Linked DNA regions of Tamandua tetradactyla. The protein of the gene in region 2 binds, or shares a complex with, the protein of the main gene of each other region. Links are inferred from orthologs where the notes say so. Each region holds a gene or a part of one and is shown on either strand. Other genes may lie near its edges. The genes, in order: UPF1 and UPF2.

Region 1 (16,280 bases), on a different chromosome or scaffold from region 2:
TACTACGGAAACGCTGGGGAGCGCGTCTGGGAGCTGCCTGGGCTCGGGGACTGAGGAAGGGCAGGAGGGTTGCCAGTGACTGGAGGCGAGCTGCAGGCCCGAGAGCGGAGAGGGCGGGAAGGCAGCAAGGACAAGAGAAAGCCACCGTGCAGCGCAGTCCCAGTCCTGCTGAGGGGGCAGGGCACGAAGGCTCAACCAGATCCTTTTGCCAAAATGAAAGAAAGAACTGGACTCCCAGGATGCAGGGCCTTCCGGCTGCCAGGGGACTCACCATGAGCAGTTCCCGCTCTGCCGTGCGCTTCAGGGCCCGGTACCGCTTCTCGTCGGCTGATGACAGCTCTCCCGTCTCGTCTTTGAGCTGCTGTAGCTTCTGCAGCTCAGGCATGCTAGAAGAAGACCCCCGGGCGCGGTGAGGACCCTGTCAAGGCCATGTCACGGCCACGCCCCGGCCGGCTGCCCGCTTACCTGTCCATGTTGCGGATCTGGTTGTGCAGCGCCAGGAAGGACACGGGTGAGTCGATGGCCTCCCGGCTCTTGGCGCACAGCCGCACCACCTTGAGCCCCGTCTGGTGGATCTTCTCCGTCAGCTGGTCCACGGCGATGTTGCTTGGTGCGCAGACCAGCACAGGCCTGGAACACAGCACAAGCCCCAGTCGGCAATCCCATGAAGCCAGGGCAGCTAAACCCAGTCCAGCATCGCCCATCAGCCCTCCACCCCAGCGGCAGTGTGGGGGCTGCCACAGCGCCTCCGTCCTCTCAGCCCCACCACACAATGCTTCCCAAGAGCAGGACGCCAGAGGCGACAGGACAGGCCTGGGAGGATGCAGCCTTTGCGGCCGAGTCACGGCACCCTCATGAGCTCCCTCCCCAGCGCCCGGCCTACCCGCTGCCCTGCCGGGCCAGGTGGTACACGATGGTGGCCGACGTGACTGTCTTGCCCGTGCCGGGTGGTCCCTGGATCAGGCTCAGCGGCCTCTGCAGCACTGTCTTCACGGCGTAGACCTGCAGAGGCGAGCACCATCAGCGTCACAGTGAGACGTCAGTGGATGGGGAGACCCCGGCCCAGACTGCGCCACCCCCGGGCCAGGTGAGGACCTGCGAGTGGTTGAGGTCAGGAAGCCCCTGCGCTGTGAAGCGCTTGGGCAGCTGGCACTTGATGATCACGTCTTCCACCTCGTGGCCGAGCAGCTTGTGGTAGATGTAGCCAGACACGGAGGTCTCATCCACTGCGAAGGTCTTCAGCGCGCTCTGCATCCTGGGGGAGTACGCGGCTCAGGCACAAGCGGCAGCAGCCTCTGCCCATGTCTCGTGGGGGTGGGCGCAGACGGTGGCGGTCCACCCTGGGTGGGTGGACCTACCTGTCAAACGAGGTCGACTTCCACACGAAGTCCACCTGAAAGTTGTGTGTCACCTCCACGGGTGCGCCCACGCTGCTGCGCAGCTCGATGGCGATCTCGTCGCCATAGTCTGCGTAGCTGAGTCAAGGGGGCATCCTCGGCAAGGGCCAGCCCCCTCCATGGGGAGCCAGCGGGAGGCGCTGCAGTGGAGCGGGGGATTCCGTCTGCCTCGGTACCCCAGCAAGGTCCAGGGCATGTGCACACGAGCCCCTCACCACCATGTCCAGTAGCCACTGTCCCACCACTGACCACCTCGTCCCTCAGCAGATCCCTGCTGCCCTCCACCTGCTCACCCCCAGGGGCCCAGAGTCTTGTGAACAGAGACCCCCCCCCCCACCCCATGAGCAGCCACCAGGGCTCAACTCCCAAGGAATCAGCTCCAGCCACAATAGCAGAGACCACACCCGGAAAGGGGCCCAGAGGCTTTCAACAAACAGGGAGGGCCTGAGGGAGGCCCCAGCCCACGAGAGAAGCCCCCCTCAGACTCAGCTCATGGGCATCTAAGGTCCTGACAACCCACACTGGCTGCATGGCCTCGAGAACTCATCGAGAAGTGGGGTGACTGCACCTTACACTGGAGGGTCACAGGGCCCTCTGATCACATAGCCAGCATGGGCCCCTGTCCCTGCCCACCACAAGCAGGGCCTGTGAGCCACGCACCCACAGGGGCAGCCTTGGCAGGTGTGAGCAGGTGCAGCAAGCCCACCCCTTCTCTGACCAGCAGGCCAGGGCCCCGTGGTCGGCCATCCTGGCCCAGCCCCCATATGCCGTGTCCAGTAATGGCCATGAGGGCCCCCCACAGAGGCCCAGGTGCTTGACTCTCCCCACAGCCCAGAGGGCTGTGCCCATGCCCCCTAGCCCCGCGTGAAGGATACTGTCAGGGACCTTGATGACGTGGCCTATGCCCTTCCAGAGGGGCGCCAGGTCCCCCTTGTAACGCAGGCAGATTTCGTCACCCTGCATGAGCCGCATGTCTGGGGAGAGACAGCGAGAGGGTCAGCGCGCCAGGAGCCCTTGCCACCTCAAGGAGGGTGAGGCGCGAGGCGCTGGGCGGGCCACGGAGGCTAGGCTACTAGTCACAAGTATGTTAAAACTTAGAATCACCTCTTAACCAAATTATGACTAAGTCCTCATTACCAGAGTCAGTCTTGGGCAAGGTGAAGTAGGCGATTCTCTTCTTGTTGAGCCCCAGGTCCCACCTGACCGTGATGTTGTCCTGAGTCTGAGAACAGGAGAGAGACGGGCGTCAGGTGCAGACAGAGACCCTGGCTGCAGGGCCGGCGCGGGAGAGGCATGTGGAGCTAGGGCAGGGAGGGGAGCTGGCTGCAGAGGGCAGGGCCAGGCTCTCGCCACTTTCAGGGGCACATCTGCAACCTGGCCCTCGGGCTACTGCAGTCAGCTCCTGGGACTGCCGGCCAGCACCAGGGGTTCTTGCCAGGGGGGCTTTGTTGCATTTTAACCAGTAAACGGCCTGATGTTTCTCCCTGAGGCTCGCCAGTGAACTGGGCATGTCCACACAGGGTCCAGCTGAGAAGGCAGTACGGCGCCTCTGCGAAGGGGAAGCCTCCCTGGCTGAGGGTGCTTGGTGCCCGCGCAGCCCACTCCACGGGCCCCACCTGGGACTCCTTGAGCTTCTTGTCATAATCTGCCTCCAGCTTGACGAGAGGCCCAAAGATGTTCTGGTACTGGTAGGCGTCCTCGTAGCGCAGCAGCACGTGCTGGGGCTCCTCATCCACCCCTGGTTTCTCCAGGTCCTCCAGGGTTGCAGAGGGGTTCTCCTGGAAGACAGGACCCCACACGCTCTCCTTCCCCACTGGATGGTGAGTAAGCCAGTGCCCAGCAGCCACGAAGACAGTGTGCACTCAAACCAGACGAAAGGACCCCATGGCTTCCAGGAAGGAGCCGACCCAGGGCTTAGAAAAGGGGGGTAAAGCAGCATCCCCCCCCCGCCTGCTCCTCAAGGGAACAATGAAATAAGCTTGGCAGCCTGGAAGTGAACGGGAAAGGGACCCTGCTACACAACACTCCCACTTGTACTCAAGATGAAAATACATTCGCATCGGCTACTTCTTATCATGCCAGTGCCTAATTAAAATTCCTAGTCTGGTCATTAAAACTTTTGGCAAAAGGCTCAGCAGTGAGCCTTAGGGCTGGGGGGCGGCTCCTGAGTGGGGTGGGAGGAGGCGGGCCCCCAGGGATGCTCCGATGGGCACCCAGCGCCTCGCCCTGCGTGGAACAAAGCCCTTGCAACCCAGGTGGGGCCCCACCGGGCCACTCCACAGGTTGCTGTCCCCTGAAGCGCGTGGAGCAAGCCGGCCGATCGTCCCCTTGGGGATGCGAGAGGAGCAGTCCTGAGGGGGGTACCCCACATGCAGCTGCCCGGTCCTCCCCTGCCCCACCCACGGGCCGCACCTTCCAGAGCTCCTCCAGCTTGTTGATCTGCTGTGCCGTGATCTGCCGGGCACGCAGCTGCTCCTGCTCCGAGGGGATCTTCACCAGCCAGGACAGGAAGCAGCGGTCCTGGATGAGGGGCTGCCACTGGGAGCTGTCCCAGTTGATGTCCTTCAGGCTGCTCTGGCTGGCACAGGGCTGCCTGCGGATGCAGGACACACTCACCACCCCGCCGGCCCCAACTACCCAGGACTCCTGCGTCACCTGGTCACGTGCTTCCCACGCTGTCGGAGGCACTCACTGCCCACTCAGTGGTGAGAAGCAGAGCTCACGTCCCTGCACACTTGCACTCTGAACCCTCAAAATGCACAATGCGCTTTATACTGACAGAACTGCTTCCACCACTTAACCGGACGCACCCCGGGGAGCTGACTGCATTCCCTACTCCGGCAAGCCCAGGCCCCGGACACCCCTTCCCGGGCACGGCCGAGCCCCCGTGCCCCAGCCCCCTGCTGTCAGGACCAAGCCCCCGACCGGGTCAGGGCCCCCACCTGCACAGCAGCACCACCACCGAGTCGGCCTTGGCCGGGATGAAGCCTAGCAGGAAGACATTGCGGCAGCCGCAGTTGTAGCACTCTAGCACCGTCTCCCCCAGCGGCCCGTCCTTGTGCAGGGTCACCTCTTTGCATTTTGCCCTCACGAGGTGATTTACAATGTGGCTGAAACCAGGAAACAACCCAGAGTTAACACCAAACCCTGGCCTCTCACTGCTTCCAGCGCTCTGGCGCGTTCCGGTGCGGGCGGTCACGGCCCATTAGCAGAGGCGGTCACACCTCCTCCACCTGGCGCCCCAGAGACCGGCGGCTCCCCCAACGCCCCCAGCACGCACAAGCCCCATCCTGGCTTGAACGTGGTCCAGCAGCTCCTGCTTTCCTAAGGCCTCCGAGGAGGATGCCACAAGAGGCCTCTCGCCCTATGCCCTGAAGGCCTCACGGCCGCTCCTCTCCACACAGCACCCGTGCCTGCTTCCAGGTGCAGCAGCCCCTGCAGGTGGGCGGAGGCCCCACCTCCCGGAGGTCACCAACCCTCTTGGGGCTGGAGGAACTGGTGGGTAGGGCGGGAGGCCCCCAGGAGGGCAGCCTCTGCTGTGCCCCCAATTCCACAACCCAATTCTGTAAACCACAGCCCCCTGGGCCCCCCAACTCCAGCCCGCCCTCAGGGACCCAGGAGCTCGTCTGAGGCACTGTGGCTGACAGCACAGTTGCCACTGGCACCCCAGGTCCCAGCTCTGGACACAGCCACCCCAGGCCTCTGCCCGCTGGGGGGGGGCTCCCCTCCCCACAGCCCTGGACCTTCCACCACAATCACCTGTTTTCTCCTGGCCTGCTTTTCCTTGCCCACCTCACCCCCTAAGTCCCCTGAGAGCTAACAGCTTGCACAAAACATGAGTGTTTGTTGACTCCAGCTTGTTTTTCTGAGAGGCCCTTTGCTTGATTCCTTGTTCTTGGCTGAGCTGACCGGAAACGGAGGTGGCCGGCTATGTGCACTTTTGTTTAATTGCTTTTCCTGCTGGAAAGGAATGAGCACACAGAGCTGCAGTGCCCCAGCCCATCCTGAAAACGGGATGCACGTGTGCTCCAGGCTGCCCGGAAAGTGCCTGTCCTCTCTACCAGCCCAGCGCATGGTACCAGCAGATGTCGGCACTCTCCTCCCAAGCCGGGCAGAGAGGCTGCCCACGTGGCCAGTAGAGGTGAGCTGGTGGTATGACCTACCACTCTGCCACTTTAAGTCTCCAGAGATGGGAGTCTTGGGGCAGCGCTGGGCATTCCGGTCAGCCTGGGTGGGAAGGCCCAGCCAGGCAGCAGCTGTGCCCCCAGAAGCTGTGCAATAGCCAAGTGGTCCGTCTCACCCGAAGTCCTGCGGCCGATGCTGATCGACAGCAAGAAGAGGTGCAAGGGCCACACGCTGGGGCTCCGCCGCGTGGGCTCTGCCCACAGCCTCCCCGGGCCACCTCCCCGGGCCCCGAGGTCCCTCTGGCCGGGGCGGGCCAGCAGTTCACCTCACGCAAGAACATAGTGAAAATCTGGGCCAAGAATGAAGCCAACCCCACGCGCATGTGAGAAGAGTCACAGAGGACAGACCAGGCAGGAGGCGAAGGTGTTCCCAGGCCACCACGTGGCTCCCGCGGCACCTCTTGCCCACTGCCCGCACTCCCCGCAGGCCACCTGCCCGGGCCTCTACCTGCCGGAGGTGTTCCCGCGGCCGTTGCAGAACCACTTCTTGCTGGCGTTGCAGTAGACCACGCAGGCGGGGTCGTGGATCCCGCAGTAGCTGGAAAGCAAGACACCACCGTTCAGCCTGGAAGGCTGCGCTCCCAAGTGCGTGAGGCAGTATGTGAGACTCTTTCATGGCGTTTTTAAGTCTTGCGTTAAACACATACTCAAACCCAACAGTGCTAATAACAGATCCTCATAAAACAGAAGACAAGGCAGAAGCGAGGTGTGCTGGGAGCCACCAGGAGACCCCGGGCTGCGCAGGCCACTACCCCGGGCTTGCAGTCTCGGAGGCACATCCTCCCCATGGGAGCAACACGTGCAGGGCCGAGGGGACTGTGTTCCAGGACGGGCGCGGACCCCGCGTGGGGACCTCTCCAGCCACCCAGAGGGCCACCACACACACACAGCAAGCGGCCTGCCAGGACAGGGGCATCTGTGCACTCATCAATTAACGTGAGCAAAGCGCAACTCCAGGAAAAGGAAAAGCCCTCCCTGAGCAGCGCGCTGCCACCTCTCTCGACCTCGGTTTCCTCCCATGTGTGCCGGAAACAAGGACAGCCCGGGCGGGCCTCCTCAAAGACCCGGGGCTCACCTGCACGCGTGCACGGGGAGGTCCTTCGTGTAGTACGTGTCTTCTTCGTCCTCCTCAAAGTTCAGCTCGGCCAGCAGCTGGCTGGTCTTGGCCACGCCATCGTCCACGGCCCCATTCTGCAGCACGCCCTCGGGCCCGCCGACCTGCATAGAGCGGCACGTCACCTGTGAAGCCCCGGCCGACCCACAGGGGCGCCTCTCACCTCCTCGACCCCCCCACCTAGGCCTTGTCCTTGCCGGCCGCAGAGCCATGGCCATGTCCAGGTGCAGCAGGGGACACTTTGCCACGCCTAGGGGAGAGTCTCACCAGTTGCACAGGGACAGCGACGCCCCATCACGCAGGCGTCACCCTCAGCGAGTCCCTCTTGGACCCTCTCCAGGCATCACTTCCCGCACTCCCTCCATGGGCCCCTCCCACCCAACCCCTCACGGGGCCCAGCCAGACAAGGGGGCAGGCAAGAGCCCCTCAGGCCTGGGACCCCTGCCGAGGCACTGCTTCCCCCTAGTGCCCTCAGAGGGATACCCCCACCGGCCCAAACCACTGTCAGCTCGGCCTTGGACGCACAGGCCACCTGCCGAGACCCAGCACCCACCCGGCCCCACCCCGCATCCTGGGCCTTGGCCTCGACTGCAGTTCTAGTAATGGAGTGACCCGGCGAACGGCAAGGAACCAGGCCACGCGGCGGCGTGTGAACTTCGCATTGCTGTCCCTCGATTCCCAAACCCTTCCCCACGACCCCCAGGTCCTCCAGATGCCTGCTCCAGTCCTTCCCTCCATACTGGGGTGGGGTGAGCCCCTGCGCCCACGGTTCCGCCTGTGCCAGCCCAGGAGGGAAAGGCCCCAGGCGTGCACCCCTCCACTGCTCTCAGTGCTTCCTTCCCTGAGTTGCCACCAGTGAAGGGCAGAGAGAAGCCTGCACCCAGTGCCTGGCCAGCCCCGGACCCTGCGGGCTCATCAGCAAGGCACAGAGACAAGGGTCCGTGCCACCCTCTCCCACCTACCCAGCCTCCCTGCCCCACTCCTGCCTCTGTCCCGCTCGCTCTCTCCCCCACGCTCTCACCCTCTGCCCACCACTTCTGGGCACAATGCAAAACTGACAGCTGTAGCCAGGTTGTTCGCTTCCCCTCCAATCACTGAAAGAGTCGAGACACATAGTATTGCAACAAGATGTGACCTTGGAAGGGATAATGAAATGTGTTAAAACCCAGCCCTGAGCCAGGACGCCAGGGCCCCGGGTCCCTGTGGGCAGCACCCCGCTCTGGCCCGGACTCCCGGACCCTGCACTGCCTGCACCTGGGGTCCCGAGTCCGCCAAGGCCGTGGGTCTCTGTCCCCACCTCCGCTCAACCCGCAGTACAAGGGCATGTCCCTACTCAGCACCTTTCAGGCGGCCATGAGGTGGGGTGCCTGGCACCCTGCTTGGGGACTGGAATCGCATGCTGTGAGCGCAGACGCTGCAGATGGGGGTCTGTGAAGCCAGCCTGGTGCTCACATGTGGAGCCGGCCCGACTAGCGCCTGCCGCGGCCTGGCCTCTGTGGCCTTCAAGTCTCGCTCCACGGCCCTCCCCGGCAACTCCCCAACCTGAAGACATCCCCATCCCTTGGCCTTGCAGTCACCATCCCTTCCCCAGGGCCCCGCTCGAGGGTTCCCCTCCCTGCCACGACCCGGGCACTGAGGGCAGGCCGGCACCAGGGAGCCCCAGGGCCACAGCCCAGACACCGAGAGGGAGGGACCATCCTTAGGCCTCGATGCCAAGGTTTTCTTAGAGAGGAACGGGCAGCCCCTTTCTGTGGGGGTGCTGCAGGGGGCCTCACCAGGGAACGCACCCCCCCACGGCCCTGCGCCCATGCACCGCAGATGACGCCCCAGCCTCCTCCGGAGAAAGCCCAGCCGTGTGTGACTGTGCGACGCTGGTGGAGGCCACCAGCCAAGGTGCCATGGCAGGGGCTGCTCTCCACACAGTCCCGCTCCCCGGTGTCCCGGCCTGGGTCTGCTCAGACCTTGGGGCCCACAGGCTGCCGGCCAGTGAGCCATACTTGGCGCGGGCCCTCTCCATCATCCTTGCTGGGACCGGCTGCTGCCTTGGCGCCAGGGACCCGACCCCAGAAGGGGTTGCCACTGCCCAGGCGCCGCTGCCCAGCAAACAGAGAGGCTGGGCCATGGGAAAGGGGTGCCCATGTCCACCCGCCGCAGCAGGGCGACGCACGAGACGCCCTTCTTCTCTCCAGGCGCTCGTAGTCAACCCAAGGCCAAAGCTTGCGGCCTGCTGTGGGTCCAAGGATCCTGGGCGGGTGCAGGTGGAAGAAGACAGGAGAGGGGACAGGATAGCAGGCTGGGCTTCGGGCTGGCTCTGGGGGTCACGTGCTGGGGGCAGGTTCCACCCCCAGGCCGGGGCACTGCATGCACCAGGAGCTCCCCGTCATGGGCTGTGGAAAAGGGGCACCCACACGGCCCAGGGGTAAAACAGGTGTCAATTTCTGTGCCCACGCAGGCAGTCCAGGCCCCAAAACCCAGCTCAGGCCCTGCTGCTCTCATCTACACAGAGAAGCCCGTGCCGGCCACAGGCCCCCAGGACCCAGCACCCCGCTCATCAGGGGGGAACGGGCTCTACTCTCAAAACCACCTGGAAGTGAACCACTAAGGGACAGGCCGACCCTGGGGTTCCCCTACCCTACTCTTTCCTGCCTGCCTGGACTGTCCACACTGCCATGACAGTCAGACATCCTCTGCTCCCCAAAAGCCTGCAGAGGGGGTCCCGCCGGCCCCTCATTCCCAATGGCTGCTGCCCCCGCCCAGCCTGAGCCCAGGGATAAGGCCGTTGATACGAGCTCCTCTTCCAGCCCCGGTCCCCTTCACAGGGGCCTCTCGGATGCCATCACTGCAGGTCTGTGGCCCCCCTTGGCCCCAGGACACAGGGCCAGAGACAGCAGCAGGGCCTGACCTGGGTCTCAGAGCCTGGGCTGGAACCCTGCTCCCGCATGTGACCCCCAGGGCCAGCACTGTACCTGCAGATGCAGTCCTGGACCGGCCAGGCCCTGGCAGTACCCTGAAGGCCCATCCTCGCCTAGAACCGCCCTATAAACAAAGCGTCCCTGCAGAGAGCCATTCCATCCTTTGGGCCCCCTGCTTGCTGCCCCCACCCTCTCAGCACACCCCAGCAGGTGAGGCAGTTCATGCCATTCTCTGGTAAAGCAGCTGCCCTGGCAGCACCCTCCAGGCCCGCAGGGCTGGGGAGAGGGAGTTGCAGAGAAGGGGGCCGAGGCTGGACAGGAGCCATAGCCCTTGCCCATTTCTGGAGTGACAGGCCACCACCGAGCAGGGGTCCAGCGGGGTCACAGGGCCAACTCTGCTGGCTGCACCACACATCGGGTGTGAGGTGGACTGAGCCCGAGTTTCCACATCACTTGGTTGACCAAGTGAGAGAGAAAAGATGAGCAGGAGCAGAAACAGAGGGGAGAAAGGAAAGAACAGAAAGCATGAGCAAAACCCCAGTGCGGCCCTGTCAGCTGCTAAGACTTGCTGAATTATACACTTCGAATCAAGAAATGGTATGTAGTCACACCTCCAGAAAACTGCTAGAGACGGGGGACACAACTCTGACCGAGTGAGCGCCCCAAAGACAGGAGGGCAGGACAATTACCCAGATCAGGACCAACTCAGAAAAATAACAACTAAGACACCTAGAGAGCCAGAGTCTGCCCCAGATAGGGGTTGTGGGCGGAGGGGCTCCAGGACCTGAGCCCCCCGTGGTGGTGGTCAGAGGCAGGAGCCCCACTTGGGAGAGTAGCTATGCATAGAGGCTCCTCAACCACCGCTGTCCCCTGGGGGCTGGGGGTTCAGGACAAGCAGGTGCCCAGAAAAGAGTCTTCCCGCTTCTGCCCGGACCCAGGCCCACGCTTTCACACTAGACGCGCAAGGGCCTGACGAGTGCCAGGCTCACTCTGTAAACAAGAACTCTGAGCCGGCACGGGCCCAGCCGGGTCCCCCATTTGCCCTCCCATCCCAGCAGCTCTCACCCCACCTTCAAGGTTTTACATGAAAATCACCTGGGCACAAACTGGACACAGTCAAGATTGACTTCAAAAGTGGCTGTACGTTGGAAAAGTCTGGAAGTTCCTCAAACACTTGCAGGGTTACTGTGTGATCCAGCAATTCTACTTCTACGAATACACCGAGAAGTGAACACGGGCACGCACGCGGAGAAGGGCACAACTGTTCACAGCAACACCACATGCCCAGCAACCGATGGACATGATGGATGATCCCTTAGCCATAAAAAAGGGTCGAGTCTGGACCCACCTACAACACGAGTGGACCCTGAAAGCACAATGGGGCTGAAAGCAGCCAGATGCCGACGGCCACACGGTATATGATTCCACACACAGGAAAACAAGAGTCTCCTCCTGACTCCAAAGGGTACCAAAGCGGACAGGGGCAGCCGGGGGCTGGGACAGAGTTTCTCTGGGATGATAAAAATGCTCTGGAACTAGACAGAGTGGCTGATGCTGTGAATGCCCGGAACACCACTGAGTCATTCACTTTAACTCTTGTTTTCACATGGGCAGCACCGGGAAACGAACCCAACTCTACCGCACCGCAAGCGAGAACCCTGCCTGCTGAGCCACCGTGGCCCTATCCACTTTAAATGGGTGAACTGCATGGCATGCGACGCAGACCTCAGTAAATTCGCCAAAACCCAGGAACTGAGCAGGCCCACTCATCTAAGAAGCAGAGTGGGAGGCATTTTGAGTCTTTCTGGAAGCCTCCACCAAACAACTGGTTCTGAGCACAAACAAGGAAAATCTCCCCAAACATTTTCAGCAACCAATGCCACCAACTGGCCTGAGACAGTCAACTTTCTCTCACATCCCAAATACGATCCCAGCTTCTCCTGTCCCAAATCAGGACCTCCTTCACAACACAAACGGGCCACATCCCTCCCCCAGACACAAAGGGAAAGTTAGACACCAGGAAGGTGGGGACACCCTGGGAGGAAAATACAAAGCCTAAGGTGATCCTCGTTAACTAAATGCAGCGAGGAACAAAACCTCTAGATGTCAACAGATCTGAGACCTTCGCTGCAGGTGGCCTCCCAGGGGGCATCTGAACGCCCCGATTTTGTACAGGCCTTCAGGTGCACAAACACCTTGATTACCTTGACTGAAAGAGAAGGACACGCCCAGCAATTAATCACAAACAGAACTGCAAGGAGCACACCTAGAGCTGGATGCTTCCCAGCTTCGCCGCACCGCGGCCCCGGAGCACACCCACAGAAAAAGGACGCCCTGGCCCGTCCCGAGCTATCTCACTGACTCTCCCGGGCCGAGAGTTCTCACGGGCTCGAAGTGACAAATGGAACTGCTGTCCCCACTTTACAGCCGTCAACACTGGGACTGGCGAGGGCTCTGGGGTATGAAAACGAACCTGAGACGTCCCCAGCACCCAGGTCCACCCCTATCCTTCCAGGCACACGCCCCGCGGCACCCCTGTCCCCCCGAGCCTGGATGGAAACAAAAGGGAGCACACCTGTCCCTGTGAAGCCCCGCCCCTGAGGCCTTCCATTTTAAGGAATCAGGGGTTAAAAGCAACAAGCGTGTTCCGCTTCCTTTCAGGGCTCAAAGAAAACCCAAGTGGGTGGTCTACCCACGAGTGTGACTCACCGGCCTGAACATGAACCGGCCCCCGGGGCTGGGACGCCACCGCCCTCCCCCCCGCCAAGCATGGAGGGCCCTCCCAGGACCAGGTGGGCCTGGGGCTCCCCGGGGTCGGCGGCCCTCTCCCAGCCCCGCTGCCGCCCACCGGGCAGTGAGTCCTGCTCCCCTCGCAACCAGGTCCCAACTTTGGAACACCCAGTCGGCTGTGCTCACGGTCCACGCGGAGCGAGTCGGCGCATGGGAATAAAGGCCACCACCAGCGGCCCCAGCGAGAACCAAACTCGGACCCAACTTTCCCCAGCAAGGAGCGGTTACGTAACAGGTCGGTTTCAGCAACAGGCAGCACTGCGGGCAAACAACCCGACCAGGCGCGCTCTCACCGCGGCCAGCGTGGCCGCCCCAGCGAGCCCAGGGCGCGCTCGCAGCCCCCGGGCCAGGAAAGGGGTGACTCGGTGGGTGTCCGTGAGGGTACCGCGGCCAGGGCTACAGGTGGGGGGTGGGGCCAGGCAGGGATCCCACCCAGGCGGGGCCCAAGGCAAGTCGCCCCGACACCCACTGGACAGGGCCTGAAGGCAGGGGAGGGCACCCCAGGGGGACCACCCCGACCGGACCAGCGCAGACCACGACGCAGGCCACCCACGTTCCGGCCAGGCTGCCCCGGGAACAGGAGGCCCAGAGGCCAGTTGCCCCGGGTCCGGTCGGGGGCTGCCCCAGGGGCAGGGCCCCCAATTCGGTCCCTCCGGGGGCCGGTCGCCCCAACCCGGCCAGGGAGCCCCCGGGACACGTCGCCGAGCCGGCCGGGGGCCGGGGCCGCTTCCGGCCGCCGCCATGTGCCTCACCTGCGCGTCGAGCTGTCCGGCCGCCGCGCCCGCTCCGCCCGCGCCGCCAGGGCCACCGGGACCGCCGGGGGGCGTCTGCGTCTGGCTGGGGAGGGTGAAGTCGGTGAACTCGAACTCGGAGCCCTGCGTGTCGGCGCCGAGCAGCTCGGCCTCCTCCGTGTCCAGAAAGGTGAGCGTCTGCGAGCTGGGTCCGTACGCCTCCACGCTCATGGCGCCGCCGCGCCCCACCGGGCCGCCTCCTGCCGCACTCGAGTCCGCCGCCGCGCCGAGGCCTAGGCCGCAGGCCGCGCTCCGCCGCCGCCGCCGCCGCGCGCCCCGCGCCGCCCCGAACCGTCCGCCGCCCGCGAGCCCGGCCGAGAGCGCACGCGCACCGACCCCGCGAGCCCCGCGCCGCCCGCGCCCCCCGAGCCGCCCGCGCCCCCCGAGCCGCCGAGCTCGCAGCTGCCCCGGCCGGGAACTGCCGCCGCCGCCGCCGCCGTGCGCGTGCGTGAGATCGACGCCGCCGCCGTGTGCGTGCGCAAGGCCGCCGCTGCCGTGCGCGTGCGCGAGATAGACGCAGGCGCGCGGCAACGCGCCGACGCCTCCAACCGCGCCCGGGCGCGGAGCGCCGAGCGGGAAGACGGGAAGCGCAGTGCGCACGCGCGCGGGAACCGGGCTTTCAACCGCTTTCGCGGCGGCCGCCGGCGGGCGTGGTCACGCCCCCAACCACGGCGGGGTCTCGCCCCGCGGGCGGGGCCTCAGGGAGGCGGGGGTGCGGGCGGGGCGCGGGCCGGGCAACGTCCGTGGGGTTTGGGCGCCCGGCCAGGGAGTCCCCGCGGGGATGGCGCACCCCCGTCCTTCCTGGGACATGCTCCCTGCGCCTCCGTTTCCCCACGTGTGAAACCGGGAACGTACGCCCCAGGCCTCAGTTTACCCGCGTATGAAACAGGAAACATGTTCCCCAAGCCTTTCTGTGAAACCGGGGTAGCCTCGGTTTCCCCATCTGTGAACTGGGGAATATGTTCCCTACCCCTCAGTTTCCCCACCTTCGAAATGGGGATGACCTCAGTTTCCTCTGTGAAATGCAAGTAGCCTCAGTTTCCCCATCTGTGAAATGGGGAACATGTTCCCCAGGCCTCAGTTTCGCCACCTGTGAAGCAGGGGTGGCCTTGGTTTCCCTGTCTGTGAAATGCGGGTGGCCTCAGAGTCCCCATCTGTGAAATGGGGAACATGCTCCCGGTGCCTCAGTTTTACCTCCTGCAAAGCAGGGGTGACCTCAGTTTCTCCGCCTGTGGACCGGGGCTGAGGACGGCCCCATGTACTGCAGGGTGGGGGTACCCACGTCATGGAGTGTGAGGGTGGAGGACACGGGCTCAGGCCCCTAAAGTGTGGCCACTGCTGCCCCCCACACATCGCCCCCAACCGGCCTGTGTGACCTGCATGCGTGGCTCACCCTCTCTGAGCCCGGGGCCCAGAGGGGAATAATGACCATGAGGGCGCAGCGAGGGTTAAACCAGCAACTCTTCCTGCCAGAAGAGTTCTAGGGGGCAGGGTCGACCTGACTGGGAGGAATGCCGGTGCCCCAAAATGCCCAGGAGGTTTCAGAATCTTGAATCCTGGGTCAGCTCAGGGGTACGGGACTGAATTTTCAGCTTCCTCGCCTGTCCGGTGACCCCAAGCCGGCCACTTGCCTTTCTGCCAGAGCCTGGGAGCATGGGCAGGCAGCTGGCGGGGGCCGGCCTCCCGCAGCGCCTCCGCTTCCCAGTTTCCCGCTTAGGGCAGCAGGAGCCACTGGAATTGGGGCCTCTCTCCCCCACCGACTCGCCTCTGTTTCGGAGCCCTCGCAGGGACGGGGTTAGCGAGTGCCATCCCCCTGGACAGGAAGACGTAGTTTAGGAGGGAAATGACAACAAACCACCAGGTAGCCCCAATAAACTGCAAAGGGCCCATGTAAGCACCCGGTCCCCTCAGCAGGGGCACAGAACAGGGGCCCTGGCAACCCCCCACCCCAGCGGTTTGTCTGAACATTTACAAAATTCATTGAGTCGAATTTCACTTTTGAAAGTGAAACTGAAAGCAGCTCTACCAACGGCCGATGAACACAAGGCCAAGCAGCCAGCGCCACCAGCCGTCGGGGCCACGCGGATCCGCTGCGCACCGCCGCACGGGCGCCAGCTGCAAGTGACAAAAGCAAGAGGGTAGGGACAGTGGCCAGCACTGGCTGCTGGGCCGCGGGGCGCTGCTGGGATTGGCAAATGCCACAGGCCCCATGGCAAGCACCTGGGCTGTTTCCAGAAAGTTAACAACAGAGTGAAACGCCTGCCGCTCGGGGCTTGGAGGCAGCCCAGATGTCTGCTGCGGGTGAGTGCATAAGCAAAGCGTGCCCTGGCTAGAGGGCGGAATATTGTTTCGTCATAAAAAGAAATAACGAGGGAGGCCGCACGCTACGATGTGGAAAAACCTTGAACACATTACACCAAGTGAAGGAAACCAGACGCATAGCATGCTGCATGATGCGTTTATGTAAGATGTCCAGAACAGACAAATCTGCAGGGACAGAGGCAGCTCTGGGAGTGCCCGAGCCTGGGGGGACGGCCCACGGACAGGGGGAACCTTTTGGGGATGATGGAGCCAGGTTAGTGGTGATGGTTGCATGACGTTGGGAATAAACCAAAAACAAAACAAAACAAAAAAAAGACTTGAATTGTACACTTTGACATGGGAAACGTCACAGAGTGTACATTTTACCTCCATAAAAAAATTGCAAAAGCCTTCGGCGTTGTGGGAGTTGGCACCATGTCCTCGGATTCCAGGCCACGCTTCCTCCTGTCACTGGCCCCTTGCATGTGACTGGCCTCGGCCGCTTGCTTCCGATAGGCAGCACGTGGAGGAAGGGTGCATGTGTGACGTGGAGACCTAACAGCTTCCCCTACGTGCTGCAGAGTCACCCACTCAGGGGGACATCTGCTGCCGCGTCGGGGGCCCCGAGCAACCCCGTGCCAAGGACCCCGGGGAGGAGCCTTGTCGGAAATGGATCCTCCGGCCTCAAGTGAACTCCAGGCAGTTCCAGCACTATCCAAAACCCTGAGCCTCTCGCCAGACCCACCCAACCAAGCCTTCCAGGGTTCCTGACCCAAAGAAGCCACGAGATA
Region 2 (15,598 bases):
CAATAGAAGCTACAGCTTCTGCAATGTATTTGCTTAAATTTAGGCCATTAAAATCATGGGACAAGGAGTCTCTCTGTTGTTCTGTAATAGTTTTTAGTTTCTTGACAAAAGCAGTATTTTTCTTCAAACTTGAATCTAGTCGGCTAAAGAAATTTTCCTCCGGTCGGTTGTCTGGAGCATTTTGGTTTTTGCTACGAAGTTCCTTCCTTAACTGATGTCGTTCCCAAGCTTCCTGATGTAGCTGAAGAGATTCTTCTTTTTCTCTATATTAAAAACAAACAAATAAATAATAAAATACCTTGTATATTGTGAAGCATCATTGACAAATCCCAGAAGAGTGAAAGCCAATAAAAAAGTAATCATATAAGAATTACAATCCAAGAGAAATAAGATGCAAAAGGCCCTTATTCTACTTCTGAAAACATTTTTTTATTATTAATGACTCAATATTCAGTATGTTGCTAATTCCATATATAGTAAAGCAAAGAATTGTGAAAAGCTAAAAATTATTCTGACATTGTTAAATTTCCTGATTTTGATTACAGTGGTTATAAGAGAATGTCCTTTTTCTTAAGACATGCCCTCTAAAGTATTTAGGGCTAAAACACCACAAGTCTGCAACTTACTCTCATATGGTTCTGACAGATAGGATAGACAGATAGGATAGGTTCTGACAGATAGGATAGATAGGATGGATGGGATGGATGGATGAATGATAGATAAATTATTAAGGAGCAATTATGACAAAAACCTAAATGCATAAACTGCATGATGCTTAACACTAAAAATACAAAATAATATATCTGGGAAGGATGTAAAATGTAAAGCAGATAAAAGCACTGGCAAACAAACAAAAAAACTGTCTGCAAAGCAGTACTGTAATGAAGGAATAAGCCTTATGAAAGAATGCACTAAAATGTTGCAAAATATAAGGTATCATTTTTCCATACTCAGCATTAACCAAACCTTTAATAAAGTACCTTGCTAGGTTTGGGGTCTTAAAATTCAAGTGTGACTTAGGAAATGCGGAAAGGAACCAGAAGAAAACTATCACATAAAAGTCTTCAGTTTATCCTGAAAAGGATAGTTAGAAATAAATCTGCATATGTTACCACTAAAAAGACAGAACAAGTATCAATTGCAGAAGTAGTAAATGGACAATCTGACTAAAGTGCCTGAGAAAAAAATTATATATAATTTAAAATTATAATTTAAAATTTTTTTAAATTAATTTTTAATTAATTTTTTTAATTTAAATTTTTAATTTTAAATAGAAAAGTTAATTTTTCACCTTTCTATAATAATCATCCCTGAGTTACCCTGAGTTTTATGACTTTTCCCACTAAAAGCTTTAAAACATTATGGGAGGGGCGGGCCACGGTGGCACAGTGGCAAGAATGCTTGCCTATGATGCCAGAGGACCCGGGTTCGATTCCCAGTGCCTGCCCATGTGAAAAAAAAAAGTTATGGGAGAAGGAACGTTTGTCACTGGGAATGTAGACATCTGAGTTGCAAGTCTACCGTTCACACACAAATACTGGATCAACAGAGTACATTTTAAGAAATTATAACTCTTATTATATAAATGCATTAAATAACTCAACTTTCACCTGCTTTAAAGATATCTAAAATACATAATGAAATATTTACAGGTGAAATAATACAATGCTTAAAAGTACTCCAAGGGATAGGGATACAAGGGTAGTTCAGTGGTAGAAATCTAGCCTTCCATGCGGGATACCCAGGTTGGATTCCTGGCCCATACACTGCCCCTGCCCACCCACCACGAAAAATCAACAAATGGTGCTACAATAACAGAATAGTAATATGAAAAAGAATGAAATGCAACCTCCACCATACAGCATACAAAAAAAAAAGAAAGTACTCCAGGGGAAAAAGCTGTTGTTGAGATTAGGTGATGAATGGGGGGGGGGGGGGGGGGTGGCGCGCATTATACCATTCTCTGTTTCCGCATATGTGTGAAATTTTCCCAATGAAAGGTTAGTTTAAAAAAAAGCTCTTTTCTATGAGAGGGGAAAGGAAGCAAAAACTACTGTGAAACTGAATACTCCTGAGAAATAAAAACAAAAAATTAAAACATAAAATAAGAAACTCTCAGAAATCATGTTTCTGAATATTTCCAAACTAGCCCTACTGCCTTCCAGACATAAGGCATCAGTTCCTCACTAAAAATAAAGGTACTAAAGAAGAACTTTGTGTAAGGAAGTAGGTTCCAGAGAGCTCTGGAATTTGAAGTTTGCAAACAGCTTTTAAAATTATAGCTATGAAGAGAAAGAGTTCATGCTATTCAACAATAGTCATTTTTGCTCTATCCTGGTGTTCTTCCTATGAGGAGTACCTCATTTTTACTAGTTTATTAAATTATACTGCACAAATTTACAAAGTTGAAAGTACATTTAAACAAAGCTAAGAATGGAATACATGGAATTATGCTTAAGCACAAAGGTTTTAGAACCTAACCAACTCAGGCTCAAATTCTAACAGCTATATTATTTATTGTGACCTCATTACTTAACTGCTTTAAGCTTCATTTTATTAATCTGTAAAATGAAGATCATAAAATTTACTGCTTTAAGGATAAATGCTGATATTCTTAATACGATATCTGGCACATAATAAGAATTCAACTATTAAGAACTAAAGATTTTCAACTTAAAAAGATGGCTAATTATACCATGAAAAAGCTTCTTTTTTGTTTCAATAAAAACAATCCAGATTACCCCAGACCTCAAAACATAATAAAAGATTATTACAATTATTGAATTTAAATAAAAGCTCTAAAACTAACAAATACCCAGGAATATACCCAGGAAAATTTACTTCAAATAAACTTGTTTTCTCAAAAAATATTATAAATTTCCATTACTTCACATCAATAATTAAAATAAGTTTTCTTACTTCAACTGAGCAGCTTCTTCCTCTTGCTGTCGTTTTGCCTGCTCTTCTAGCTTCTTTCTCTCTTCCTCTTCATGCTTCTTTTTTTCTTCTTCCTCTTTTTTCTTTAATTCTTCCTCTGCCTTCACCTTTTCTTCTTCTTTTTTCTTGCGTTCTTTGTCTTCTTTTTTTCTTTTATCTTCTTCCAATTTCTTCTTTTTATCTTCAGGGACCTTAATAACCTCCTTCTTGGCAGTAAGCTTGATATCATCTTTTGGTTTCTCCCTGATGCTCACTGGCCGTCTTTCACCGCAGTCTTTTTCCTTGTTGTTTAGTAAAGATTCTTTTTCTTCCATACTTGCTGGCTTTTTACGCTCAGCTGGCATTATGTTACCCAGGACAATCTGTAAGAATAAAACGGTGTCAGAATTACAGATATAGTGACTTTTTTTTAGTGAGGGACATTATTTTTTAAATAGTATACATAAATCCATCCTGGCAATGGTGAGAGATTAAATAAATGCATGCAAAATGAATACTATTTCTGTGATAAAACAATATATTGGTCACATTCCATATTCTATCATTATTAGTTATGCTTATATTTAAGTGCATTTTTTACTTTTTAATTATGGAAACTCAAACACATTCAAAAGTAGAGCACACACAAAGAACCTCCATATACCATCACCCAGGTTCAACCATCACCAAACTCCAAAATAATCTATAATTTAATCATAAATACTTCAGTATATATCTGAGAACAGTCTAAACCAGTCTAAATCCCACTGGTTCACTATTTCATGTGATATTCAAAAGAAGTATTTAAGTTAGAGAAGGAGAGCAAAAACGAGCTCTTGCCTCCTACAAATCACTGGCCAAAATAGAGAACAGAGTACTCATAAATTTCACCTCATTGTTCTAATCTTATTATCAAACTTGCAAATGTACAAACTGTTAACTATCTCAGTTAAGACTAGATTTTTTAAATCTTATTAAAGATTAGACAAAAGTAATTTACCAAAAACAAATCATAATTATGGTTATCAAATGTATATATTCCACTCTGCACCTGCCAATACAGTAGAAACAACCTCAGCACTACTGAAGTTTTGGGCTAAATGTTCCCCAGGGGTCAAAATCACCAACTGAAAACCAGTGTACTAGCTACTTGTGGCTATTTAAACATAAATTAAATAAAATTAAATTTGAAATTCAGTTTTTCAGTCATGATCCGTATTTCAAATGCTCAACACCACATGCAGCGAGTGGCTACTATATCAGGTGGTGAAGTCATAGTACATCACCACCACGACAGCTGGTCCTACTGGATAGTACTGATCTGTACTATAGGCTTCATACAGTTAACTGGAACAGAAAACCGTATTTCCCTGCAAATTCAGGATTTTTCTTTTCCAAAAACACATTTCTCTAAACTCAGAACAAACTAGTTTGTTTTATATATATAATTTCTTTTATGGACAGTGCTCCCTGTTATAACTCCTAAATCATCAAAACATTGTATATAAGAAAATCCTATTTAAGAAGTATAGGATTACTGAAACTTTCTAGTTTTTTATTAAAAGCTAAAGATCTGCATGGTATTCCTAGATGATTTTAAATTACAAAACAAAAACTAGGTTAGCAAACAAAACATCTGCAACAATAAATATTTTATAAACACACAAATAAATTACTTCAGCTTCAGCACTCTTATAAAATGTTATTATCACAGAAAGACAACCTAGGCCAGTAGAAGCACTTTAAGTAATTTTTGGAGGCACATGCCACACTCTGTACCTTCTCACAGCCACCTCGTCCTTCCCCTTTTCCTCTTTAACTCTCTTATTCTCCTCCATTTCCATGGTCTATGCATTCATTTTGACAATGACACCCAAAGGCTTTAGTAAACCCCATTGGTGGAACTCAGAACAACAACAAAAAGGCTGTTATCCTGTTTAAAAAATCATTTTAAAAACATGAAAACATTTAACTATTTATTTATGTGCCAAGACAAGATTAACATTTATAATATATTATCTGGAAATGTAATAATCGATTCTTATACATCTTCAATTAAATACCCACCTTTCATATGAAAATATCTCATGCTCTAAAAGTAAGAAAACTTTCAAACAAATAAGATAACACTAAGAGCCACCACTCACTGCTACTAGTACTAAACATTTTACATACATTAACTTATTTAATACTAAAACCTTCATGAGATGGGTATTATCTTCCCCACTGTACAAATGCGTAAACTGAGACTTCACCAAGTAACCTGATCAAGGTCTCCTCAGCTAGTGACAGAGGTGGAATCTGAACCCACATTCTTAACAAAAGCTATCAAGAGCCCTGAGAGTAGCAAACTGTGAGTTGAAAGAATTGCTTATAGATCGTGACTAGGACAAACAATAGAATTATCTCAGAGTAGAAAGAGTCCCCTGATAATGGCTAAGCAGTTTTTACATTATGTTTGTAACTTTTGCCAAATTTGGCTGAAAAGGGGACAAGACAATACCGAACGAAAAATTTTATTTAGGGGTCTTAGACATTTGTGAAAAAAAATAAAATATATTCATGTTTATACAGAATTTGCATTTTCTGACATGAAGCATTGAATAACATTTCAGGTTATAAGGAACTATGATTTTCAGACAACAGATAGGATCAGAATTTACAATGAACATTTTATGAAGATAAAAAAAATCTTAACCAAATTTTTTTTAAAAACCATTAAGAAACTAGCTTAGAATCTGACAAATTCATATAGGCTCATCATTTATCAGCTCAATAGAGTCTGCTAAACTTTCGTGACTCTCTACAGTATTCCTTCATTCAACATGTTTTTATTTAAGCACCTATTACATAAAACGAACTGTATATAGATCCTGCTCTAGAGCACGATAAAACAAAGATTCTTAATAAGGAACGTAAGTTTTGATACTGGTATCTTCTTTGAATCCCTTCATCCTTATATCACAAACATACACCCAATGTATATTATGCGCTAAATTTCAGCGACCAAAAAATAAGAAAAATCTAAAAGTCATACAGAGGTAGCATACATATAAAAAGAACATGGCTCTGAAATCAGGCAGACTTTAGGTTTGCATCCCAACTCAGCTACCCTTTAACTATGGAAAACAGGCAACTTAAATTCTCCAGGTCTATTCCTTCAAGGATAAAACGGAGAAATTGCTCTGTCTTAAGACAGCTCTTGGCTTATATAAAAAACTGCGATCATAGTAGCTAGCATTAAGGGGGCACTCAAATGCTGATTCTGTTTCATACAACACACTGAGAAGTTAATCATAAGATGAGAGATGGGTAGATTTAAACGGACTATTCAATTTTATCTACTCCTATTCTGATTTTCTCATTGAGGTAGCAGCAGCAGAGTGACCTACCTAATATTACACAGCTGGCTTAGCAGCTGGGCCAAAATTCACTAACGAATACTCTTTTCCACTGTATACCCTGACTATATTTTAAAAACTAAATAAAATATACAAACAGCATGATCCAGATCAGCATGCATTTGTATTATGTCAATTTAAAAAATTAAACTGAGCATTAAATTATATTTATATAATGATAAAATTTCTTATTTTAATAAGTTTGTGCTTTAATAAACAGCCAAGAACTTTAAAGTATTTTTTTCAAGTTTATCAAGTAAAAAGTAGTTTTAAAGAGATTCTATCTCAAAATAATCAAGGTAAAAATTAGTGATCTTTTAACTGGAATATGATTAGCTCTTACAAAGTATTTTACTGAGTACAATCATATTCAAGGCAGCTCTGATAAGGAAACCTTATTTTTAAATCACACCTTCTTAACTCCCCAGTCTCCTGGTAGAGCACTTGGGCTGTAGATTTCATTCGGTTTTCTAAACATACTCTGAATTTCCAAGAGAAAGTAAAATACTACTAGTAAAATAGGTACCAATGGGGGTATGCTAGAGAGAGCACCAAAGGGAAGAAAGATCCTTCCCTGTTAAAGATCTTTGCAAGGTACCATATGGCTTACGTATGAAATCACAATTAGACTGCTCTGAAAGTAATTCAGAGTAAGAGAATGCTGTTTTACCTTTTAATTCCATGTTATTCAAACTGTTCTAAAGACAGAACTACACAAGGTATTATCTCCCAGTCCTTGACTTTCTTCTTTAAAGAACATCCTGAGAATAAAGGACTCTCAACGTTTTTACAAATTTCACCGGAGCTCAAAAAATTTTTTTGAGCAGTTCATTTATGAACCCCTAAAAACTATGATAAATGAGAGATGAAAGATAGTTTTACTTGAATTACTATGTATAAATTCTATAAGGGCAAGAGGGCTGAAGGTCCGGCCAGCCCAGCCTGTATCCCCACGCCTGTACGGAGGCTCTACTTTGCCAACTTGGAGACCAAATATCCTGTGATCATCTCCTTGGCTCAGCAGTACTAAGGAGAGTTCTCGGAGGCTTGGGATAGAGGCGAAGTGGAGCAGCAACCAGTCTATGTGATTAAAGTAAACCCCAAAACCCGTGTCTACCCTCCCAAATTCACCAGAGCCCCTTCTACACACACACCTCCCACAAAGCCCTGCTCTTGCTCCACATTCCTAAACCTCACACGCTTCCCCGCCACAACTCCCTTTCCTACGGGTACCCACGGTCACCTTCGCGGGCCACCCTCGCCCCAACCCTAACTTCTCACCCCACACTCCCTCACCACCCAAGACTGTCGGGCTGGTCTCCCTACTCAATATCCTCCCACACACGCACTCTTCCCACTTCGTCGCCCTCGCTTCCCTCCCAGCGCCCAAAGACCTTCCCCCAACCTCCCCTCCTCTACTCCACGCCCCCAAACACCTTCACCCCAACACGGCGAGCTCCCAGCCTCGGGTCGGGAGGCCCGGCCAGGACATGCAGGACAGGACCTCCTCTGCCGCCCCCCATGCCCGCCCCAGTAAGAGACGGGGACCCCCCGGAGAGCGGCTGAGGACGACGCGGGAGCCACGGTCTCTTGACTTCTCCCGCCCCCGGAGAGCTGGGATAAGAGCTGCCGCTCGGGTCCCCCGGGAGTGAGGGTCCAGGCCTCTGCCCCCGGCCCGCTCCCGCCCGATCGTTGGAGCGAAGACGGAGGGGTTCCCCGGGACTCACCTCGAGCCTGTTGTCAACATCAGCCCCGGGTTTCCCAGCACCAACTCCAGCGCTCGGGCTCCCCTCCCCTCCCCCCACCAGCTCGCAGCCGAGGACCCGCCTTCCCTCTGCACCCCTCCTCCCTCCGCACGCCGGCCTTCCGCCCGCCACTCACCAGCGCGGCCTGGCTGCGAGTGGGGGCAGGGCGGGGGAGCGGGGAGGAAGAGGCTGTCCGCGCCATTGCCGTTACGCAGGCCGGCCGGGCCGCCCGCTGCCCAGACATGCCGGTGCCGTGGAGCTACCTTTGAATGGAAGTTCCAGAGTCACAGCTCAGGCTGTTGTCAACTACTTAGCGGATGAGTCGAAACGCCTACTCGACGTTACGAGCGAATTTTTTCATAAGGCAATGGATAGGGCAGCTACTACCAGTGCCTCAATCCAGGACCCCGGTAGGGGGGCGGAGCGCTCCGAGGACCGAAGGCAGGAAGTGGATTGGTCGCCAGGAAAGGGAAAGCGCCTGATCTGGAGATGCGCAGGCGCAGACACCTGGGTGAGGGGGCGGAGCGGAGGGGCGGGGAACAGTAGAAGAATTACGGAGCGCCTTTGAGGACAAGGTGATCACGTGACTCTCCTGGGAGTTTCCCGGTGCGAACGTGAGGAAGAGGTCTAAGAAAGGAAAGTTTGATTGGACTAATTCAAGAGTAGAGGTTGAAGACTTAGGAAGTTGGAAGCTGGAGAGGATAAAGAATGTGGCTCGTGAGGAGAGCAGAAATTGGTTAAGAATGGGTCAAGCTTTAGGAGTCGCCTAGTAATTACGAAATTCCTGTGGGGAGAGTTCCAGAAGCGGTTTTAGGTGTTCGATTTGAAAAGATCTCAAAGCGGAGAACCAAGGATTTTCCCATATGGTTCATAGAAAATGCCCGGTTCCAGCAAGGAAGTAAAAAAATTACAATGGAATGAACTCTCTTAGTTGTTGGATGAAATCTCCCTTTAAAAAAAAAAAGAAAAAAACAAGGAAATTGGCAAGTTTCGTGACTTGTTCGAATGCGAACCCAAGTCAGTTTTTTATAATAGTTATCCACAGAGCATCTGAAATTGGGCATTTTAACCTCCGATTTATACCGAAAAAGTGGCAGAAAGGCTGTACCAACGTGATCTGAGTGATCTTACCGGGTGTTCATACCGGTTGGCTTTGGCTGGTGAGGATCAAGAGAAACAAAGGTGCAGAACTAACCTAAAACTCTTGGTTTACGTGCGACACCCCACCCGACATCCAAGCCTGTAATAGAAGCTGCTCCCAGCCTCAAACCCTTGAGGCACGTCTAGTTTCCCTTTTATTCAGTCTTTACCCATTTGCCTCTACTGTTTTCTTTCCATTTATAGTTATCATGTAAATTACCCTCCCAAATTGAGTGTTGAAGATTCCTGTACTTAATTTTTTTAATACCGTCAATAGATGAGTAATTTAAAAGGTAGTAAAGAAGGAGACAGACAGTAATACAGCTGTTCTGAACCACTGATACACAGTTATGAGAGGACTCTTCCAAAACACCATCTTTGGAACAGTAACCCACACTTCTCTTCAAAGTTACCTTTTTGTCCTTATGTCTGAGTACTTTATGAAGTCTAAATCCTCCTCATCCCATCCTCAATCACACTGACTGCCAGCATTCATGTCATTGAAAGGAAATCATGGGAGTACAGAAATCAAAGAGAGAAGAGGAGGGCATTTTTACTGAGCATTTGCTATTTTATGTTTGTTAATTTAATTAAAAATCACAATCCTGTACGTAGGAATTATGTTCCCCATTTTATAGATAAGGACATTGAGTCACAAAAAGATGAAGTAATTTACACAAAATTGTAAAACTAGTAGGTATAATATCTAGTATTCTACTCAAGTCTGTCTAACTCCAAACCCAAGCTGTCTTTACTATATCCCACTTCCGTTATGCAAGCTTATACATGGACTGAAAATGCTGCCAATTACTTTATTTCTAAAGAAAGATGCTAGCCACCAAAAGCCTCCTATGGGGATATCACTGGTTATGAGTCATAACCGGAAGAAGCACACTACTGTGAAGAAGCCAGCTTTGCAATCTGATAATAATTCAAACTTCACTATTTTCTGAAAATACATTGAATTAAGCATTTAAGTGTTTGTAGATATTTCATTATTCGAGAACATTCTCCAAAAAGTCTATTCTTTTCCCTTGTGCCTGCTCCAATTGGCAGAAACTGACAGAACTGAGAAAATTTAAAACACTCTATTTACTTACATAGACTTACATTCTACTACTTTCTACTGCAAGTCTAACCAAAGAGTTGTTGCATCACAGAAGACAACAAAAACAGGAGGCAGAGATTACAATTACTGGGCAGGGCAAACCCTGAGTTAAAAAAAAAAAATAGAAGCACTGGGTTAGTCACACCTGCTGTAATCATAGCTTGCATCCACTGACATCAAAAGAATATAATATGATGTAGAGCTGTACTGAGCATTTGCTTGAAAAAATCAGCTCTTTGTTTAGTTTAATTTGAGCTACTTTATGCTTCTTGTTCCTATAAGTGCTTACCTCTTCATGTTATCTCTCCAGCAAAAAATTTTCCATGCGCTCTCTCTCTCTCAATCTCTCTCATCCTCTCGCCTCCCTCCCTCCTCCCACTTTCTCCTTAACAGTTTGTAAAATAACCTCTTGAGACATGTCCATTAAAAAAGAAATGTGAATTTCTAAATAAGAAGTCACTTATTACTGAACCATATTGAAATTTGTCACAAAACTGAAAGATTGGAAACCACTTTACTGGGAAAAGAGAAATGAGTCAAAAAGTTTCAGTGGCTGAGAGATTTCAAGCAGAGTTGAGAGGTTATCTTTGAGGTTATTCTTATGCATTATATGGATATCCTTTTTTAGTTTATGGTGTATTGGAGTGGATAGAAGGAAGTACCTGAAACTATTGAGCTGTGTTCCAGTAGCCTTGATTCTTGAAGATGATTGTATAAAGATGTAATGTTTTCAGTGTGACTGATTGTGAAAACCTTGTGTCTGATGCTCCTTTTATCCAGGGTATGGACAGATGAATAAACAAATATATGGATAAAAGAATAAATGAATAATATGAGGGGCAAAAGGTAAAATAAATTGGGTGGATGGAAATGCTAATGGTCAGTTGGGGGCTAAGGTGTATGATATGAGTTTTCTTTTTATTTCTTTTTCTGGAATAATGCAAGTGTTCTTAAAATAATCGTGGTGATGAATACACAACTCTGTGATGATATTGTGAGCCATTGATAGTACACCATGTCTGGAATGTATGTGTGAAGATTTCCCAATTAAAAAAAAAATATATATATATAAAGAAAACCACTTTACTATGCTAGTGCCTATTAATTTGACCAAAATAGAAGTGAAACAATGTGTTTAAAAGCTTTGAAACAAAGGTTTGTTGAAAAAATAGAAAAAGATCATAAGATTTACAAAGTTGCTTAGAAAAGTGCATGGTAAATAATGAAAAGCCATTCAATGAGATTGTGACCTAATGAGAGAGATAGACAGTAAAAAGAACAAAAAAGGGAAACGGTAGGATAAATGCTAGAAAGGAAATAAACAAGTAGTGTAATGGAGAGGAGAGGGGAAGGTGGAAACTTTAGAGTGTCAGGAAAAATGCAAAATTAATGATGCAAAATTTGAGCCTAAAACCTGAAGAATTAGAAGGACCTCATTGGATGTGACAGATGAGCAGTTGGAATTTAGAATTGTGGGCTAGAGATAAAAATTTTATAGGCATCAACATAGATGATATTTAAAGCCCTAAAAATGAATGAGATCAAAGAAAATGTAGAAAGAGGAAAGCATCCAGGATTATGATGTGTGAACCTACACTCAGGTGTTCAGAAAGAAAGAAAATGGTAAATGTGGTAAAATAGGTGGATCTATATTTTGGGGGGTGCCTGTAGGGTGTGTTGGCATTCTCTGTATGGGATTTGTGTTATTTTTGTAACTCCTATAAATTTGTTCTATTTCAAAATAAAACATTTAAGAAAGGAAAGAAAGGGGTTAAAAGGTGTTCTAGTCTGTTAGCTGCCAGAATGCAACACAACAGAGAGGGATTGACTTTCAGTAAAAGGAAATTTATTTAGTTAATGTGTAATTCTTCAGTGGAAAGGCAGCTAACTTTCATCTGAGGTTCTTTCTTACGTGGGAAGGCACAGGGCGATATCTGCTGGCCTTCTCTCCAGGCCTCTGGGTTCCAACAACTTTCCCCGGGGTGATTCCTTTCTGTATCTCCAAAGGCCTGGGCTGAGCTGTGAGTGCTGAGATGAGGTATGCTGAGCTGCTTGGGCTGTGCTATGTTGAGCGCTCTCATTTAAGCACCAGTCAATTAAATCAAACATCATTCATAGCAACAGGCACACCTCCTAGCCGACTGCAGATACAGCAACAGATGAGGTTCACATGCCATTGGCTCATGTCCGCAGCAGTAGAACTAGGCACCTTCACCTGGCCAAGTTGACACCTGAATCTAACTACCACAGAAGGGGAAAGAAGAATTTTCTCAGGTACTGTAACCAATAATGACAGAGATTTTTAAATATAATTATCAATTCTAATTTATAATTCTCTTCAGTTTGTCCAGCAGAACAACCAGTCTCAGTATACTTTGTGAAACTAGTGGATAAGTGATGAGAAAGTTAACCCTATGTGATTTAATTAGTCTGAATTCTTGAATTTCTGACTAATATTTGTAGTCTCTGTCACGGGACATTTGTGATAAAATATTCCACATATGCTTCAAGCCTAAAATGTTCACAACTAAAGTTAAGATTGTTCCTCTACCCCATCTACTATTAAAGAATATAATATTCTTCACATTAATGGTGCCACAATCCTCATTCACTATTCCTTATTTAAGTGCAAGCAACCAGATCTTCAAAAAACTCTTTAAAAGATCCTGACTTTATCTTCCTCCACAACTCTATCACCTCCAAATGCACCATCTGAAGCCCACCTTATTATTCCAATTCTTCTCCCTAATTGCTTCTAACCTTGCGCCTACTTCCAATAGAGTGTTGTTTCAGAAAGACACCTCATCATTCTACTCCCCTGCAAGAAAAAACCTTCAATGGCAAAGGTGCTCTCCAACTTCAATCATGCAGAATAAATATATTTATTTAGATATAAAATAAAATATCTGTACAACTACACAAATACATTACACACATCATAATACACACTCCCAAATTGAAAGGATAAGATAAGAATAGATCTAAACAGAACTTCTACTATTTTTGCCTAAATACATCATCTTGGCACACCCCTGAATGTGCCAACCCATCTGGAAGTCACTCACTTACAGTCCTTAGCAGGAGCCCTTTATAATATGACTCTTGCCATAATATCTAACCTCACCTCCTACTACTTCCTCATGTGTCTAAATTCTAGTCAAAACAAATAATCTGGATGTACTGAACTTCCTCTCACCTCGTTGTATGACATAGTTCTGCTAGAATGCCTTCCCTCCCATGAGACTTCCAGACTAGTTAGCTCAAGCATTATTTCCATGGGAAGCCATTCTTTATCACCATCAACTCATATATAGGGATTTAGGTCCCTACCCCCAGCCTCTGAACACCTCTATTATAACATTAATCATCTGATAGTGAAATAATTCATTTTGTATCTGTTGATTAAGCTGATTGACTGAGCTCAATTGACTCAGCTCCTTGAGACTATTCCTTGGCAAGAATATTGATGGACAATAACATTGCTCTAGATTCCTTGTTGGCTAGTAATGGTGGCATCTGTGTCTTTGCTAATACTTCTTGTTGTACTTGGATTAATGAAACATGCAAAGTGGAACAGGCTATACACCACCTTAAGGAAAAAGCTATTTGGCTCTCTAAGGTTGATCATCAGGGTTCATGGGCTTTGTTCTTGTTGGGGCCCCTGATTCCAAAGCATCTTACGGGGACTACAAATTGTTCTTGTTTTTGTCATAGTGATCATGATCCTGGTCCTTTGCATTCTATCTAGAGTATTAAATGCTTCTACAGAGCTGCTTTTTCGTCACATGATTATCATGATGATACAACAACCAAAGGTCAAGATCTTGCTGTGCTGTTAACTATGAAGGCAACTGAACAACCTCTGAGCCATGAAGATCTGGATCTCCTGCTTTCCCTGAATTAATCAGCCTCTTGCAAGGGAGAAAATGACCAAAAGAGATTAAGAAACTGTGTATACAAATGGACAATGGCCAGGAAACTCTGTTAGCAGTAACCAGACCAGAAGAGACTGGCACATTACCTGCAAAAAAGTAGTCCAGGAAGCCAACCACTGTCTACAACAAACATCCCAGGAAGTCAAGCCACAATCCCTATAACAATTGACCCAAAATAGCCAGGACTTGATTGATAACTGACAGTTTCCCCAGTTTTTGCCCCTATTTCCAACTTAGGACCAACCGAAAAAAAGCAAAATATGCTCCCTTGACCAATCACATAGGATGTCCCACTTCCAGCTCCCCTTTGCAGCAGCAGCCTCCAATCAGAGCACACCTGGAGTCTTCCCTTCTTTGCACTATAAAGTTTTCCCACACCCTTGCCTGCTTTGAGTCTCTGCCAAACACTGCTGATAGGAACTGACTCCTTTGCTATGACATGCTCTGAAGAAATAACCTTAGTTCTTATATGGGTGTTCTCATCTATTTCCACAATTCCATGTCCCTTCATTTGATCTCCATTATAGCTAATTCAAGTTTTTAATACTGAGAGTAATAAACAGAAACTGATACATTAATGTGTGTCAGACATCAGTTCACCCAATGATTCTATTTGGTAGAAACTATTTTTCCCTGTTTTTACAGATGGGGAAACTAGGACTTAGTGTAGTTAAAACAACATGCTCAGGATCACACAACTACTAAAAAAGATTTCATCTCAGGACTGTCAGATTTCCAAAAGTTTATCCTTCTACATAATAATTCCTCTCATTATAGGACATCTTCCCCACCTTATACAGCTGAGTACCACACACATGATAATATAGATAGCCCTTTTTACCTAAAGTATAGAATAAAAAAGACACGATTTTATAATATAGTTTAACAAGACAAGAATGTCTGTCTGAGTCAGCCCAGTGTAGGGCTAAATCTTTACCCATGTTACTACAAAAGAAAGAAAACTGAAATAGGAATCCAAGACCTGGGTACAAATCTTAAATTCCTGCCACTCAGAACCACCCTGTGAAACTAAGCCAAGTTGATTTTAACCTCTCTGTGACTCAAATGCCTCATTTTTAAGATGAGAACATTAGATTTAATGATTCCTAACTATAAGGTTTTAATTTAATTTTGACAACACATATCACCACAGCTTCCAGGTGTCTGAGAATCCAAATCAAAGTAGCTATCTTCATAATCGAAGGTGATGCTGTCACATTGAGAAACATAGCTGGAAACAATTTATTACCAAGAGTCTTCTTGTTAGCACTGGCCTTACCTGGCCGGCAGTCCTGGTCCTTGACTCGCTGAGACAAAGAACTGAAACTTGAGTGGAGGTTGAGAGCAAGGTGA

The links.
Region 1: the proteins of UPF2 (region 2) and UPF1 are in contact, whole or in part, in a crystal structure (PDB 2WJV), measured with the Homo sapiens proteins. The link is inferred for Tamandua tetradactyla from reciprocal best matches to the Homo sapiens genes UPF2 and UPF1. Residues at the interface, in NP_056357.1 of Homo sapiens: Val1105, Cys1107, Glu1109, Asp1110, Phe1113, Ile1114, Ala1116, Leu1117, Met1120, Met1121, Asn1124, Leu1125, Arg1128, Met1169, Pro1170, Phe1171, Val1172, Met1173, Leu1174, Thr1175, Gln1181, Lys1184, Leu1186, Asn1187, Val1188, Pro1189, Ser1192, Gln1193, Leu1194, Asn1197; in NP_001284478.1 of Homo sapiens: Asn150, Thr151, Ser152, Gly153, Val157, Asn158, Leu160, Val161, Arg162, Lys164, Lys166, Pro175, Leu176, Gly177, Thr179, Tyr184, Cys188, Asn190, Val191, Phe192, Leu193, Phe196, Pro198, Asp202, Ser203, Val204, Val205, Val206, Leu207, Cys209.

The regions. Positions count from the first base shown.
Region 1 is NC_135337.1:95,941,771-95,958,050, forward strand, and holds the start of UPF1 (regulator of nonsense transcripts 1), read right to left. Parts: upstream 8,263-16,280; 5' UTR 8,254-8,262; coding exon 8,036-8,253; intron 7,790-8,035; coding exon 7,717-7,789; intron 6,800-7,716; coding exon 6,657-6,799; intron 6,120-6,656; coding exon 6,030-6,119; intron 4,508-6,029; coding exon 4,340-4,507; intron 3,991-4,339; coding exon 3,810-3,990; intron 3,176-3,809; coding exon 3,014-3,175; intron 2,620-3,013; coding exon 2,502-2,619; intron 2,372-2,501; coding exon 2,273-2,371; intron 1,468-2,272; coding exon 1,359-1,467; intron 1,256-1,358; coding exon 1,096-1,255; intron 1,003-1,095; coding exon 884-1,002; intron 631-883; coding exon 466-630; intron 387-465; coding exon 272-386; intron 1-271. UniProt on the Homo sapiens protein: RNA-dependent helicase required for nonsense-mediated decay (NMD) of aberrant mRNAs containing premature stop codons and modulates the expression level of normal mRNAs.
Region 2 is NC_135333.1:50,917,357-50,932,954, reverse strand, and holds the start of UPF2 (regulator of nonsense transcripts 2), read right to left. Parts: upstream 8,179-15,598; 5' UTR 8,045-8,178; intron 7,699-8,044; exon of another isoform or gene 6,988-7,698; intron 4,850-6,987; exon of another isoform or gene 4,696-4,849; intron 3,300-4,695; 5' UTR 3,282-3,299; coding exon 2,920-3,281; intron 264-2,919; coding exon 1-263. UniProt on the Homo sapiens protein: Involved in nonsense-mediated decay (NMD) of mRNAs containing premature stop codons by associating with the nuclear exon junction complex (EJC).